Linked DNA regions of Drosophila melanogaster. The protein of the gene in region 4 interacts with the protein of the main gene of each other region in a pairwise test. Each region holds a gene or a part of one and is shown on either strand. Other genes may lie near its edges. The genes, in order: CG1572, Gos28, BomT2 and CG17991.

The links.
Region 1: the proteins of CG17991 (region 4) and CG1572 interact in a two-hybrid assay, tested with the Drosophila melanogaster proteins (one large-scale study listed by BioGRID).
Region 2: the proteins of CG17991 (region 4) and Gos28 interact in a two-hybrid assay, tested with the Drosophila melanogaster proteins (one large-scale study listed by BioGRID).
Region 3: the proteins of CG17991 (region 4) and BomT2 interact in a two-hybrid assay, tested with the Drosophila melanogaster proteins (one large-scale study listed by BioGRID).

Annotation. Positions count from the first base shown.
Region 1 is NC_004354.4:11,554,523-11,560,264, forward strand, and holds CG1572 (uncharacterized protein), read right to left. Parts: upstream 4,116-5,742; 5' UTR 3,966-4,115; intron 1,917-3,965; exon of another isoform or gene 1,888-1,916; intron 1,825-1,887; 5' UTR 1,779-1,824; coding exon 1,662-1,778; intron 1,590-1,661; coding exon 1,404-1,589; intron 1,274-1,403; coding exon 1,094-1,273; 3' UTR 528-1,093; downstream 1-527.
Region 2 is NT_033777.3:18,661,753-18,665,810, forward strand, and holds Gos28 (golgi SNARE, 28 kDa), read left to right. Parts: upstream 1-1,985; 5' UTR 1,986-2,043; coding exon 2,044-2,065; intron 2,066-2,130; coding exon 2,131-2,315; intron 2,316-2,856; coding exon 2,857-3,245; intron 3,246-3,315; coding exon 3,316-3,418; 3' UTR 3,419-3,555; downstream 3,556-4,058. Other genes in the region: Cpsf73 (cleavage and polyadenylation specificity factor 73), read right to left, coding at 1-2, 64-1,355, 1,418-1,579, 1,636-1,703; CG31231 (uncharacterized protein), read left to right, coding at 3,702-4,058. UniProt on the Drosophila melanogaster protein: Involved in transport from the ER to the Golgi apparatus as well as in intra-Golgi transport. It belongs to a super-family of proteins called t-SNAREs or soluble NSF (N-ethylmaleimide-sensitive factor) attachment protein receptor.
Region 3 is NT_033778.4:18,387,126-18,389,948, forward strand, and holds BomT2 (bomanin tailed 2), read left to right. Parts: upstream 1-1,869; 5' UTR 1,870-1,974; coding exon 1,975-2,038; intron 2,039-2,104; coding exon 2,105-2,271; 3' UTR 2,272-2,318; downstream 2,319-2,823. Other genes in the region: BomS3 (bomanin short 3), read left to right, coding at 1,060-1,111, 1,183-1,250.
Region 4 is NT_033777.3:27,239,676-27,242,870, forward strand, and holds CG17991 (uncharacterized protein), read left to right. Parts: upstream 1-1,591; 5' UTR 1,592-1,656; coding exon 1,657-2,541; 3' UTR 2,542-2,655; downstream 2,656-3,195. Other genes in the region: PolA2 (DNA polymerase alpha subunit 2), read left to right, coding at 1-1,428; CG18766 (uncharacterized protein), read right to left, coding at 3,035-3,195.

The DNA.
Region 1 (5,742 bases), on a different chromosome or scaffold from region 4:
TGCAAAATGCAGCCAGCAGCGAATATAATTAAATGTAATTCTTTTTTTTTTCGATAATCATATCTTAATGCTTGATATACGAGTTGTATTTATTAGGCGAAACGTTTGTGTGGTCGGCGATCGAAGGAGGGTCAGTTAATTGTTAAAGAAAAATGCTTAATTTATCGTAATCGATTACCCTTTTCTTTTATATTTAATACTTGCGTGTACTTCTCTTAATTACTATGATTTTTTTTTTTAATACACCTAAACCACTTATTTGTGTTTACTGTATATGTAAATTAGTAGTTAAAGGCGAGGGCTTTATGCCCATCAACAGATAATAAAAACTGCGCCAGAGGGAGCGAGAAGTGTGTTTTAATTATTATTAGTAATTAGTAATTTCAATTGATTTTTTGTGTTTAGAGAATCTATTTCTATGAGAAGACAAACAAAGATGCAAATTCTATTATATATTATATTATATAGTAATTATTTTATAGATAACTAATTTAAAATATATTCAATAAAAACCATAAAAATTACCACCACGTTTTTTCTATTACTCTTTGGTATTAAATTAAATGAAATTATGATTTCATCGAATTTATATATTTGCTTGCTAACAGCAACATTTCCCGCATGGCCCAAAAGTATGCAACACTTTTTACGATCGGTTCAAAATCAAAAAGTACAAAGTACACTGGCCAACACAATTAAAGCATGCCGACAATAAAAAACTATTGCAGCTGAAGCAACAAATAAACAAACTACTACACATTTAGAAAAAACATATAGACACACATCTTTATTCGAATACATGACAATCTGTTTGGTACAAAAGAAAGTGAGACAAAAAAAAAGTTTTGTATATATCGGTAAAAGTACAAGTAAGTGTAACTAGCGCCAAAGAACGTTTCACAGTACAACAAAGATTCCGCCGCTTGGCACCCACTTTCTCTACATCTATGTTTGTATATCCCTGGGCTCTCGCCTCCTTCTCCTGCTTCGCATGACCAGTGGCTAGAGTTGGTTGTGGGAAGAACAAATGCTTCGAGATTGCAAATTCCACTTGAATGGCCGAGTGGGCGGTGGGTTTTGGGTGCTTTAGTGCTTAAATGCCGCGATAGGATCGGTGGGCCAGGAAGGCGCTGATGAAGTACAGCACCGCATTGACCAGGCCCAAAACACCGGCTGCCATATAGGCGTCGTGCTTTACATCGCGCAGCTTGAGCAGCAGGATGGTGGACGAGACCAGGATCAGGATGGCGGCCACACTGTGGTAAATCAGCTCCTGCAAAAAGGTTAATGGTCGTTGAAATGCACGGATTGCAGATACAAGGCGAAGTATATATATGTACGTTTGGAGTTCCATGGCTAATACTAAAGTATACAAAAGATATAGCAATGATGATTATACTCACATAGATCGTCTTGGCAATAATGCCGCCCGTGCTGAGCGACGTGAGGCAGGCGAGGAGTAAACAGAACGTTCCTATCATAAAGGTAACGGCCATCAGATAATGGAACAGATCCTGCTGGCCATAGAAGTATCTGTGGTAGTCCTGGTAGTTGAACGCCAGAATTCCCACAATGGAAGCACCAATGATCTGCGCAAAAAATCGTGATGGTTGTTACATTAAGTTCAAAGTTGCTATCGAATTCTGGGAGCATTAACGCACCAGCTCGAAGAGCTTGAGGATGCCGGGGAAAGTCTTCAGATAGCCCGTGTTCAGGACAATGTAGGAGGTGTTGGTGGTGCTGGTGGTGGTGCGGGTAATGGTCACTGAATGCGACATCTTCGCTCTGCTTCGGTGGTTCTTTTCGGGGGGTTAAAGGTGGGGTCTGCAAAGACAAATAAATAAATGAATAAACACAAAAAAAAAGTAAAATATTGGATGCTAATACCAATACAGAAATATAAGAAACTTCGGTGATAAGAACTGAAATTAAATAATAATACTTATCAAATTGTAAATGCTTAAAATTCGTTGAAATAAGCCAACAAATTTGCTGGTGATTCATGCAAAGTATATTTGCATCCATGTGTTAATTTATGGTTTAATTATTTGATTAAAATGAGTAAGTCTTAGGTTCTTTTTCTTTCACTTATATTCCCCGAATATCGTAATTCATATGGTGTGTTTTTATTTATTTATTGCTTTTTTTTTTTGTATCTTTTGTACTTTTTGGCCAGCTGTTACAGATCGAACGCCCTTGCCACGCCCATCGATCTGCAATGTATCCATACAATGTTTGTGTATTTTTGGCCATCCATTTGTTGCTGTTTTTGTTTTGGATTTTTGCTTTTTGTCTAATTTTAAAACAATTTTCAATGCCGGCCTCGCAGGCGAAAAAGCGCCAAATGCGTTATTGAAGCAGTGGGAGAATCGGAAAAATCTATTTACTTGACCGACGAGAGAAAACCCCCCCGCCCCATACAGAACCACTCCTCTCCCCCCGCGCAACGATTTCCCCCCTTTTTGGGGATCGGCAGCGAACAAAATAGATGAATCGCTCTCGTCTATATGTTCACCTAGGATTGGATATATGTAAGTCTGTATGTATGTACATATATGAATGTATGTAGATATGTATGCATAAACGTCATGAACTTTATGGTCTGCTGCCTGCTGTTCGTTGTGGAAAAGCTGAAGGAAAACTGAAGAAAAGCGCCTCGTTCGTAATTGGGACACACACACACACACACACACACTTTAAGTATACAGATGCCGTGGGTGGGCATAATGGTTATAGGGTATTCGCAAATGCCGTGCCAGATCTGGAAATCAGATTGTGACTATAAGTTCTGACTTCAGATTTGACGATTGGTAATCAAGCCGAATAACATTGTAGGCAAACAAATAAAACCAGTTTAGCTTAAAACAAATAACAAACGGAAGGATAGTGAGATTAATTCCAAATTAACTGCTCTGCTATAGCTATATTTGCTATATTTGGCTTAAAACAAACATGAGTTAAATAAAAGCCTTGTAAGACCCATACAGAGGAGTTGAAAATCGTAACTAATTTTATATTCTTGATATTTTAACTAAGCAAGGAAGAGATCAATTTAGAAAATACCAACGAATTATATTGTTTTAGGAAATGTGCTCATACAAGATTGATGGCAATTGGAATGGGGTTGGATTTCAGAACTTAGACCTTCCTCAAAATCGGTGGCGCATTAGACGAGTTCAAAAACGATGACGCCACCGGTGACGCAATAGTTTACACACAATGTGAATGATGCTCATCGAAATTCACAAAAGTGGTAGAGGCACATACATACACATACATATATACATATGTATATCCCAGTGGCATGGAAGGGGTGCGGCCCAAATTCCGAAGCGTAATACCGAAACCAAAAACCGAAAACCAAAAAAAAAAATAATAATAAGAAAACAAAACAAAGCAAAAACCAAAATAACAAGAACCCATGTGCGACATTTTATCGGAATTAAACAAAATACATTCCGAATATTGATTAGATGGCGGATTTCCGCCGAAAAGCGGTATGATATCATGCCTATGATGTACGATAGTTTAATTCGCATGCCAAGCAACTTGGCCCAAGCAACAGGTTGTTGTTTTGGGCCCTTTAAGATTCCTCTTTGGAACCGGAAGAGATGAACAAAGACGCCGCTTTTGTCAATTTCCCAAATGACAACAACTAATCAATATACATATGTACCAAAAGGCAAGCTATCAAATGTTCTGCTGATAAGAATATTTCCCCACTGCAAACGCGACTCACATTCGGTTTCGCATTTTCAACTCTGGAAATGATATCATCGCCGTCAATAATAATGCAGTTTAATGCTTGTAGGAGAAAAAAAATTAACAACATATTAATGCACAGCCAAGTACCGAGAATTCCAATTCCTTTTGCTTTTCGAAATGTACAAAAAAAATATATAAAAAAAAAAAAAAAACAATAAAACACACATATAGTCCCAGCGGTAGAAATGGGTGGTATGTACCTCTTTCTCTCTCTGTATATCTAAAGTTTTCGGTATGGATCTTACTCTTACTTTTCTCAAAATTCGGCGTAGGACTCAGCCAACTGGTTTTCCTCGCACTTTTCTTTCGACTTTTGCGTCTTTTCGCGCGCACGTTGCAAACGAAACTGAAACCGAAACTGAAAAATAAAAGCGTTTGGCCCGCTGCCTCTGCCACAGTTTTCAGCGTCGCAGTCGACGCAGCCGAGACGAAAACAAAACAAGACCCAGCAGAAGCCTTCCAGGCCGATTTACTGCGACTCGACTTGGGGGATACCCTGCATCACTTAGAACACTTCACAAGCGAATTAGGTTGGTAGTACAAAACATGCATTGCAATTTTTTAAATATGTCGCTTTTTGGGCCAAAAAATGCGAAATAATGGTCCAAATATGGATTGTTATACCTCGTTGAGTTCGTATTCAAAATTCTACTCAAACTGTGTTTAAAATTTGGAATATTAATTTTATGCCATTTTTCGCAAATTTTGATGATGTTACCCCTTACCAAAAATGCGAAAATCGACCCAAAAATTAATTTTTCAAAATCCATCAAAAAGTGATAGAGATAGTTAGTAGTGGTAATTAGCTGCACAAAACAGTCATTCCTGCACTTTTATGACCATTTTTAGACAAGTTATGATAAAAACACGCTTTATTTAAATCGTATTTTTGGCCGAAAGTCGTTTTCCAGATTTAAAGGAAGAAAATATTTAGTTTTTTGGCCACAACATTGGAAATAATGATCCAAATATGGATTGTCATACCTCGTTGAGTTCGTATTCAAAATTCTAATCAAACTGTGTTTAAAATTTGGATTTTTAATTTTTTGCCATTTTTCGCAAATTTTGATGATGTTACCCCTTACCGAAAATGCGAAAATCGACCCAAAAATTAATTTTTCAAAATCCGTCAAAAAGTGATAGGGATAGTTAGTAGTGGTTTTTAGCTGCACAAAACAGTCATTCTTGTACTTATATGACCATTTTTAGATAAGTTATAAGAAAACACCCTTTGTACATATCGTATTTTTGGCCAAAAGACGTTTTCCAGATTTAAAGGAAGAAAATATTTAGTTTTTTGGCCACAACATTGGAAATAATGATCCAAATATGGATTGTCATACCTCGTTGAGTTCGTATTCAAAATTCTAATCAAACTGTGTTTAAAATTTGGATTTTTAATTTTTTGCCATTTTTCGCAAATTTTGATGAATACCGAATATGCAAAAATCGACCCAAAAATTAATTTTTCAAAATCCATCAAAAAGTGATAGGGATAGTTAGTAGGGGTTATTAGCTGCACAAAACAGTCATTCCTATGCGTTTATGACCATTTTTAGACAAGTTATGATAAAAACACCCTTTGCATAAATCGTATTTTTGGCCAAAAGACGGTTTTCAGATTTAAAGGAAGAAAATATTTAGTTTTTTGGCCACAACATTGGAAATAATGACTGGTCTATGCCACCCGGATGCGTTTTCATCCAGGGTATCAGCAAGGCAATTCAGCCAACAACGCCAACAAGTTGACTTGACTGCTGGCTAGCGCGGTATAAATGACGCCTGACGTCATGATGTCATCGAGTGAGCGGCAGAGCAGCCAAGCAGCGGAGCGGCCAACCTTAATATTTGTAATCTTCAAGTGCAACTAGGCCCCCGGCCACGCCCCCTTGACACTGTTCATTGGCCGCCCACGGATTGGCAATTAAAAAGAAAGGAATTAAACTTGCTAGTGGAAGCTCCTCGGACTTTTTCTCT
Region 2 (4,058 bases), 8.6 Mb from region 4:
TTCTGTGGGAATTATTTAAATGAATCGACATTTTTACAAAGAAACTAACTAACTATTACTTACTGCCCAGATCAGAAGGAGCCAAGAGGTGGTACTTAAAGTCGCGCTTAACCAGAACACCTGAGAGTTTGCTTCCCACCTCCGAGTTCTTGGCTGCGAGGCTTCCCATCACCTTGGCGGTTTTCTCGCCACGGAAATAAAGATCCACGGCATGTGTGTTTCGCGGGTTGTAGAATTTTATATCCGTGCTTGCATCTGCTTCGTATTCCCGCTGCAGGGCCAACTTCAGACGCGACATCTCGTTCTGCTCGCCGTGGACGAGCACGACATGCGTTGGCTTTAGTAGGCGGATGAATTCACTGGTCTGCTGGTAGTCCGTGTGAGCCGAAAACGATATGTAGTCGACGGACATGTTGAGCGGCAGCTTCTGGCCCGACAGTGTGGTGATCTCCTCCGGCTCGGAGAGAACGGCTTTGGCCAAAGTGCCCTCCACGCAGTAACCGGCTATAATCACTCCGTTCTTGGGATCTGTGCACCAGCTCTCGAAGAGCTCTCGCGACAATCCCGACTGCATCATACCCGGCGACGCCATGATTACGCAGGGTCCGATATCCTCGAAGTGATCGATACCCTTCAGGTTGGAAATGTGGCGGAAAACGAAGGGATTGTTCACAGCTATCTGTCGTCGAATTCGATCGTTCATAGCATTGATGTACGTCTGGTAGACAGCCATGCACTTCTTGGCCAAAGAGGAGGCATAGTAGATGGGAATCTCGTGCAGATCCGGGTTCTGCGACCAGAATTCATCCAGAATAAGTAGCAGTTCTTGGGCACGGCCCAAAGCAAATACTGGAATTAAGCATCTCCCGCCTTGCTGAACAATTTTCTGCACCAGCGAGGTAAATCGATTCTCTCGATCCTCTCTTTTCTCGTGAATGTGAGTGCCGTAGGTGGACTCTGTGATAAGAACATCCGGCTTCATCGGTGGCACTTCGGCAGCCATCAAATGTCGATCCTCCTGGCGCGAAAAGTCACCAGTATACAAGATCTTGATGCCAGCAATCTCGATCATGAACATGGCGGCACCCAAAACATGACCAGCAATATAGGCACAAAAGCGTACGCCCATCACATCGCGCTCCTCGTGGAAATTGATCGTCTCGATCTTCTCCATGGAGGCCTCCAGATCGGCTTCCGTGTATAGCATCTGTTCGGTGGATATGTTACTGATCTTGATGTAATCGGACAGCATCCATCGGTAAATGGCTTTCGTGGCATGGGTCATAAAGCAGCGGCCTTTAAAGCTGGTCTTCATGAGAAACCAAGGCAAGGCACCGCAGTGATCCAAGTGGAAACTGATAAATATAAGCATTCACCATTAAAAGTTCAATGCCCATTTAATCGCCGCAGTACTTACTGTGATATAAACAGCAGATCAATCTCATCCGCCTCTATTAGATCTACGTAGGGCAGGGCATCCATGCCGGACAATCCCGGATGGATTCCGCAGTCCAGCATTATCTTCTTGCCCTTAAATTCCAACATGATGCAGGAGCGTCCCACTTCCTGGCCAGCACCACTGAAATATAAGCGTTACCCTTGAGCTTCTATCTGGTTTAAATCAAGATTCCTTACAGTGGCTTGATCTGCAGCAGGTCGCTTTCCTCGTCTGGCATGCGTGCATCACCTGTTGCCTGCGTCATGATGTCTAAAATAATGTAATCAATAACAAACTTTTTTACAAATCGCCGGCAACAAAACGCTGTGCACGGCAGTGTGACCAAAGTTTGATGACTGCCGGTATGGACCTGTTCACACAAGGGCTGGAAAAGAACATTGTACTTTTTCCTTTTACATTAACATTAAGTTATTAGGACAATTTAATTTTCTCGTAAACATTTGTTCATTAAGTAGGGCCTAGATTAAATCTGGCTATTAATCTTTCCCGATACTCTCAACTCATTCCACTTGGGCCCCGCCTGACCTGGTCACACCGATTGCCACACGAAAGTCGAACAAATAAAGGAAAACTATTTTTGACAAATGGGAGGATCCAGCTACGATGGTGAGCAGTGGGACTTAATGGTTACCTTCCATATAAGCTATCTCTCCTCTCGACCTCCCGCACAGTGCTCAGGAAGCAGGCGCGGAGCCTGGAAAACGAGATCGACCTGAAGCTGGTGGCATTCAGCAAAATCGGAGCTGGCAGTGGAGGAGGTGGAAGTGGAGGACTAGGAGGCGTTGACACATCGCCGCTCCTGGGCGAGCACGTCTTCGATTCGCTGTCGGAGGAGATCGAGCAAATGCTGGAGAAGGTGCGATATGTGACCCAATGCCATGCGATGGTGCAGGGATTAAACCCGAAACAATGTAGTGCGGATTCCTTATTTATTTATTAAGCAAATTTCTGTGCCACCGGCTTTGTGCTACTATGAATTACTAATTTCCCACTAAGCCTTCCCAAAAATCATAATTTAATTGGCAGAATTGAGCACACAATTGAAAAACTGCCACGATTAACTTATATATATTGAAAACATTCCATCACTTTCCAATTTTTTATGAATCTGTATATATATTATACTTTATTATTCGAGTTTTTTTTATGCTCTGATCTTTGCTAAATTCTTTAAAAGAAAATGTTTAAGAATTCCTCTTTGAATTCGCTAAATGAATTCCATTTGATAAATACTTTAATAGATAATTCCAAGTAATGAATGAGTCACCGACTGAAGCACAAAATGTTCAAATTGTTTTGCTTGTTAAGTTATCTACGTTTTTTAGGCAATTCCCATATCTATAGAATTTCTATAGAATAGAAGGATTTCATTTCTATTTCATCCTTCTTAATTGCAGCTATCCTCGCTAAATGAGTCCATGTCCGATTTGCCCGCCTCTGGAGCAGCCGCCATGCACACACTGCAGAGGCATCGAGAGATCCTGCAGGGGTATCGCCAGGAGTTCAATAAGATCTGCGCCAATCACACAATGCGAATCGAGCGAGAGGAGCTGCTTCGTGGCTCAGGGTTGGCCACCAGCTCCGGCAGTCCATCCATCTCGGGCCTAAACCGGCGAGAAATGTACCTGAAGGAGAGCGGGCACCTCAACAGCGCCAGTCACTTGGTCAACGATCAGATAAATATCGCGATTGAGACGCGTGACCATCTTCACGCCCAGCGACAAGCATTCAAGCGGCTGCAGACCCGCTTTAACGATATCTCCAATCGATTCCCACTGATTTCCAGGTGAGACAGACGAGTTCTCAATTCAATTTATGCATATTTACTTATCCAATTATTTGTTGTATATGCACAGTCTCATTCAGCGCATCAACATTAAAAAGCGACGCGATTCGCTGATCCTGGGAGCAGTTATTGGCTTCTGTGTGATCTTGCTGCTGCTCTACGCCTTCAACTAGTGACCCGCCACCGCGATTTGGCCAAAGATAGAGCTTGCATTAAACTCCATTACAGACAATTGAATTTTAGTTTGTTTTTTCCGACGGTATATGTGTATGATTAACTTGTGATAGCAATAAAATGTACTATATAAGACAAAACCCAACAGCCATTGATTCTAATCTCAAGCAGCAGTTAATAATTTTAGGCAAACAGCAAACATAACAACTTATGTATATACCAAAAAGAAACCCAAAACATTTAAAACATTTACGTTATTGAAACGACTTCAATTGCACAGAGATGGCTGAAAATGCACCAGAAGAGGCTGCCCCCATAGACAATGCCGAGGAGATTCCACCCGCGGAGATTCCAGCCGCGGAGGATGCTCCCAAACTAGTAACGATCGCGGAAGCGGCGGAGGGTGCAGAAATCCAAGGTGAGACAGCTAACGTAGATCAAATAGAAGGAGAAGGCGAAACGGTGTTGCCAGCCGAGGATGACGAAGCCTCAAAGGAAGGGGAGGAGTCTGGAGCTAAACACAAGGGTCTTGCTACCGCCGACGAACGAAAGCGCGAAAAGCTCCAGAGAATTAAGGAAAGGCTTGCCAAAAAAGACGAGGAAGAGGCTGCGAAGGCTGCGTTGGCTAAAGCTCCAATA
Region 3 (2,823 bases), on a different chromosome or scaffold from region 4:
TGCAAATTAAAGCCAAATATATACAAATATGTATATATACATATTAAATATGATCTTTAAATACTTGCTATTGAAAAAACTTTCTAAAGGCTCCAAAAGGCACGCCTCTTATGATGGACATTACTCATACGCACTGTTGCACGCATATTAACCTTTTCTTAATTTATTTGTATATACTATACTCTAAATTCCTATAGCCTTAAATGACGAAAAATAATGTTATAATTTTATTTTTGATGAAAACTATATAATTATTTCAGAATATAGATAAGAAAACTTGTTATTTAATAAAAATAAATGAAACTGTATTTAAAATTCGAAAAAATTACCATTAGGTGTCATTCTAATTTTAAATAATTTTGGTATTTAGTAATTGAAAGAAGTAAGAATTTAATTATAGAAATAATTGTTTTTCAAAATACTTAAATAAAGTTGAGCTTTATGCCTGAATTTCATTTTAAATTATTTACATAGCCATATTGACTTTCTTACAAAAAAAAACTATGACTCCCTGCCAATCCAAAACCATAATCTTTCCAAGTACCTTGGCTAACCTTTTTTGCATAAAACTTGCTAATAAACTGTGTGCTAATATGACAGTTTATTGATTCGGCGGAATTGAACGCATTAAAACGGGTTCGCAATACTGGGAAAAACGAATCGCATGGGGCGCCGCCAAGTCAAATGGAATCAGGTTTGCAATCTGGCCACCTTGCACGTGAATAGAATCGCGTTCTGGACCAGCTTGGATTTCCCTCTTCCAATCGCGCAGCTCGGGGCTATCAGTCTGCACTTGTTTACGCTCAATTTCATTGAGAACGTCGCACCGCTGCACTCGGGAATTTCTCGATGGAGGTGTTGGCTTTGGCTTGAGCTTGGGAGAATCCCAATCTCGGCCAGACTTTTCCCGGTGTCGCTGCCAGTTGGTTGATAAGACAGATCGGTACACTTGGCTGCTCTATGACTATATAAAGCGTGTTGTTCTCAACACTTAGCATCAGTTGTCAACGGCTAATACGCGGGAGTCAAGCTCAGAATTCAACCACAAAAACCAACAACATGAAATTCCTATCACTCGCCTTCGTTTTGGGTCTGCTGGCTCTGGCCAACGGTGAGTAATGCCAACTATTTACAAACTAAATAAGTTATTTAATTATGATTTTAATTATATTTCCAACACAGCCACTCCCCTGAATCCTGGCAATGTCATCATCAATGGCGATTGCCGCGTCTGCAATGTGAGGGCCTAAGGGCAGCGGAGAATGAAGGATGCCAGTTGAAGTTCACACAGCCACACATATTTTTAAGTCGAAAATGTAATAGAAATTCCTAGAATCAAGTGCCCATATTAAATATATTCCAAACAAAACAACATATTATTTGTAATGGGGAAATATTATTGATTTCTATAGATAACAACTGAAAGGCAGTTGAGGTTCAGGCAAACCACTTAAATGTATTCCAATTGCAAAATGTATTACAAAGTTCTAGGAAAACAAACTATGAAACAATCACTTGTCATTAAAAGACGCTTAAAGTCAGCTTAATATTTGTTATTTGTTAGTTTAGAGATCTGGAATGAGAAACAAATTATTGAAAATGATCTTAGGCGATGGAGAATACCGTATTTAATTCAAATAAATGTTTTAAAGACTAATACAAATTTTATATTATCATATTATGATTTGATTAATTACATTATTATCCAAATAGATCAGCCTTGCTACTGTATGGTTTAGCAATAAAATCGATACAGCTTACCGATTTTTTGTTTAATAAATAACAATAATTAAACAACTAATTAATAGGCACTCCTTTCCAGACATTTCTTTAAAATAACTATGTAAAATCCCGCAAAATAATTATAAACAATTATATATATAATATAGCAAATACTATATGTACTATGGCATATAAAAAGCAGAGCACTCGCACTTTGGCAGTCAGATTTATTCGAAATCCCCAAGGAAAAACATGAAAGCTCTTCAAGTCGCCGGAACTTTGATGCTGCTTTTCTGCCTGCTGGCAGCTGTTAATGGTAATTATTTAATGAAATAATAAAATATATATATGATATTTTTAGCTAATCATTTCCTTATTGCAGCTACGCCGGGACAAGTGTATATCAATGGGAAATGCATTGACTGCAATAAGCCTGATAATGATCCGGGAATTATAATTCCTCCAGACCATAAATCAGCTGGATCCATGTCTTACACACTCACATCTGGAGCCATCTTCTTTGGAATTATATATCATATATTCAGTTAAATTACTATGTAATCAATAAGTTAATAAAATAATATCTTTTATTTCTCAAAAAAAAACCTTAAGCTTGTGACAAATTGCGAACTTAAATACAACCCTTATCACGTATAGATTTAGTCACATATTAAAACTGCTATTTAACAAATCCCAACTTTATGGGTATTTAAATTGCATTTAGATTATAGCAATTGCATATTAGATTAAAATCTGTAAATTTAATTTAATTCCCAGCTTTGTTTAAACCGCTAGGAAGCTTTAAATAATTTAGCTTTAATTTTTATATTTATTCATATTGATTTTGGAATTAGATTTCCTATTTGAGACAAATCTACAATAATCTATTATTATTTATATTCGATTGATTGATCGCTATCGCTTTATTTTGTTTTGCCATTGTTCTGAATGTACATCGCCTTATCAACATTTTTTTTTGTAGGGCATTTCCAGACTGGGCACAACTTTTGTGTGATTACAACAGCTGAGATACGTACTATCCGGGAAAAACCTGATATTTAAATTTCATCATAAAGGTGCCTATAAAAGAAAACCAATGAA
Region 4 (3,195 bases):
GATCGGACCGCCAATCTCAAGGGCGCCGCACTCTTTAGCCCCGCCAGCTATACACCCCAATCGGCAAAGAGGAAAGCAGGTTTAGAAACACCATCCAACTCAGTGGCCGGCAAGCCGGGCGATATAGTTGACACCTTCGGACATCCCAAACTCCTGGCTGGCTCCAGCTGGCAGTCACAAATGGAGCACACGGTTCCGGTGACTCAAAAACTGCTGCACAACGACGCCCCGCTGACCATCGCAAATTTGGGCTACATGAACGACCTGCTGACCGACCGATGTCACAACCTGCGCGTCCGCTTCAACCAAACCGGTCCGGCACTAGTGGACAAGAAACTTGGACAAGCAGGCGCAGCCGAGTGCATTTGGTATCCGCAGGATAGGCAGGTATTGCAGTCCGCAGGTGGACTCCACGCGGTGGGAATGATTCATTCCGAGGACGATGGCCCACTGGACGCCCACTCCGCATTTATGGCCGTTTTAGATGACGATGTAGAAGATGAAATGGACCCAACGCTCACGCTCAACTTCTCCAGGGTCAAGTCTGCCAGCATATTCCCAGGTCAAGTGGTGCTCGCCAAAGGGTTCATACCCAGGGGCAAAACCTTCATGGTAGAGGAGATACACACAGAGCGCAAACTGACGCCAGCAACGCCACTGCAAATAGACAGGGAGCTTCAGTTTGTGGTGGCCTCCGGACCCTTTACGGACAGTACGGATCTCTTCTACGAACCGCTGCACGACCTGCTCAAGTACCTCAAGGATCACAGACCTGACGTGCTGGTGCTCACGGGACCATTCCTGGATGCCGATCACAAGATGGTCGGCGAACTGGCCGAGACCTTCGATACATTCTTCGAGAAGATGATTGGGGGAATAATGGAGTCGATTGGTAGTCACACAGCAGTGCTGGTGGTGACCAGTCAGAAGGATGCCATGGCTCTTTCCGTATATCCAACGCCGCCGCCCGCTCTGCGCAGAACCTATCCAAATCTATACATGCTGCCCGATCCATCTCTGGTGGACTTGGATGGCTTTACGCTGGGCGTTACCTCAACCGACGTGGTGGACCACCTGTTGAGTCACGAGTTTGCTGTGAATGCCGGCGAGCGGATGCACAGGGCCATCAACCACTTGTTCCACCAGGGCTCCTTCTATCCTTTGTATCCGCCGGCGGACGAAGACATGGCCTACGATTCCCAGCTGGCGTTGAAATATGCACAGCTCAAACAGCTACCAAATGTGCTCATCTTGCCCAGCGATCAGCGGCATTTCATCCGCTTGGTCAACGACTGCCTGGTGATCAATCCCGGCCGTGTCGCGGACAAGAAGGGTGGAACTTTCGCCCGATTCCTGGTGGCGCCTTCGGTGCCGGGAAAGGCGGCCAACATGTTCAACAGTGTGGCGTGTCAAGTCCAACGCATCTAACCTGACCACTTTGTGATGATGATAAGGAAAGGATAGTGGGAAATAGATCAGTACAATATTATTAGTTAATATAATGAACACACTACTTTGTCATAACTTTTCACAAAATACATTCAACAACAAACAACTAGCATTAGTTATTTTGGGCCAAAGTAGGTATTGTATTATTTGTAAACATATGCCCTGGAGTTTTCTCAGACTCAAGTTTTATATACAACAAGATCAATAATGGCTAGCAACGTTGCTGCGCCACAAGCTTCAGCTGGAGGAGATTCGACGGAACTGGAGCGCTGTTGCTGGATCTGTTTTGAGACCGATAAGGAGGCAGGTCGCCAGGCTTGGGTGAATCCATGTCTCTGCCGAGGAACCAATAAGTGGGTGCACCAGAGCTGCATTTCCCTCTGGATCGACGAGAAGACCCGAATAAACAACAATCTGCAAGCCGTTTCCTGTCCACAATGCCAAACGGAGTACACCATTGCATACCCGAATCTCTGGATTTTCGATAGGGCTTTGGAGCTGACCAACGATCTTATCCTAACAAACTTATATAATTGCCTGGCCAATGTCTTCACGGTGGTCTTTGCCTATTGGTCAGCGGTTTCATTCGGAGCAAAAACATATTTGCAGATCACTGGTCAGGAAGGTCACGTTCATCAAATAATTCAATCGGGAGACCTGTTGGTTGTTCTGGTCGGATTCCCATTAATCTCGGTAGTTCTGATACTTGGACGCTTAATTCCCTGGGAAGATGCCCTGTTGCGCTTCATTAGAATATGTTATTCATTGCTGCGAAGTCTTTCAATGATGTGCCTAGGACGGAAATATGACCACCAGACCGAACCATACCCTTCTGCGCCAATGACCGAATATTCAGCATCGCGGGTGGTCTGTGGAGCCATCCTCTTGCCCACCATATCCATGTACGTGGGTAGAGTTCTTTACAGCTCTGTCGACGATAGATTGCAACAAACTCTTCTTGGGGGATTGACTTTCATAGCGATCAAGGGATTCCTCAAAATGTACCTCATGCATAGCCAATACATCTGTCGTATGAAGCGTCGTGTTTTGGATTACACGAAGGAAAACCTAGCGGAGGCAGACGGACACTAGGTAAACTCAAGATCTGCAAGAGAAGCAAGAAGTAATTTGAATATCTATTTAAATTGTAAAGTGTACAATTTTCCTAAGACTACGTGTCAATAGTGCATTCTTACTACCAATCATAAATAATCGTTAAAGCATTTATTAATTTATGCATAATAGTTTACAGCTAACAGTAGGAAATGGTGTCTAAATGTAATGTACTCCCTAGGATCTCTATGCACGATTGATCGATCCAGCCCCCTCTTTACGGAAGTCAACTCTGTATCGAGGGCGCGATCGTCGAGAACTAAAACTCCAATGTATATTTTAACTATACAAAAAATACTGTATGCCGTGTGTGTGTCCAATGAACTTGGCCGCAACTCAGATGCGGTTAAGTAACTGCGCGCCACCTTAAGTAATCCTCGCCTAACGTCTCACTTCGTTCGGCTTCTGTGCCTGGTTCCTGGAGCTGCGTCGTCCAACAACTCGTTCAGTTGTTGGGCTCCTGCTTGTATTGTTATTGTCGGTTGTTCACCCCCTCGGGATTGTGGCTGCTGACCATGCTGTGCTCCATGTTCTTCACGATCACATAGTTGGTGATGTGGTTGATGGCCTCGTCCTGCAGCCGCTCCGGCCAGCGCTTCATGTACGATTTGATGAAGTCGCCGAACGTGTCCA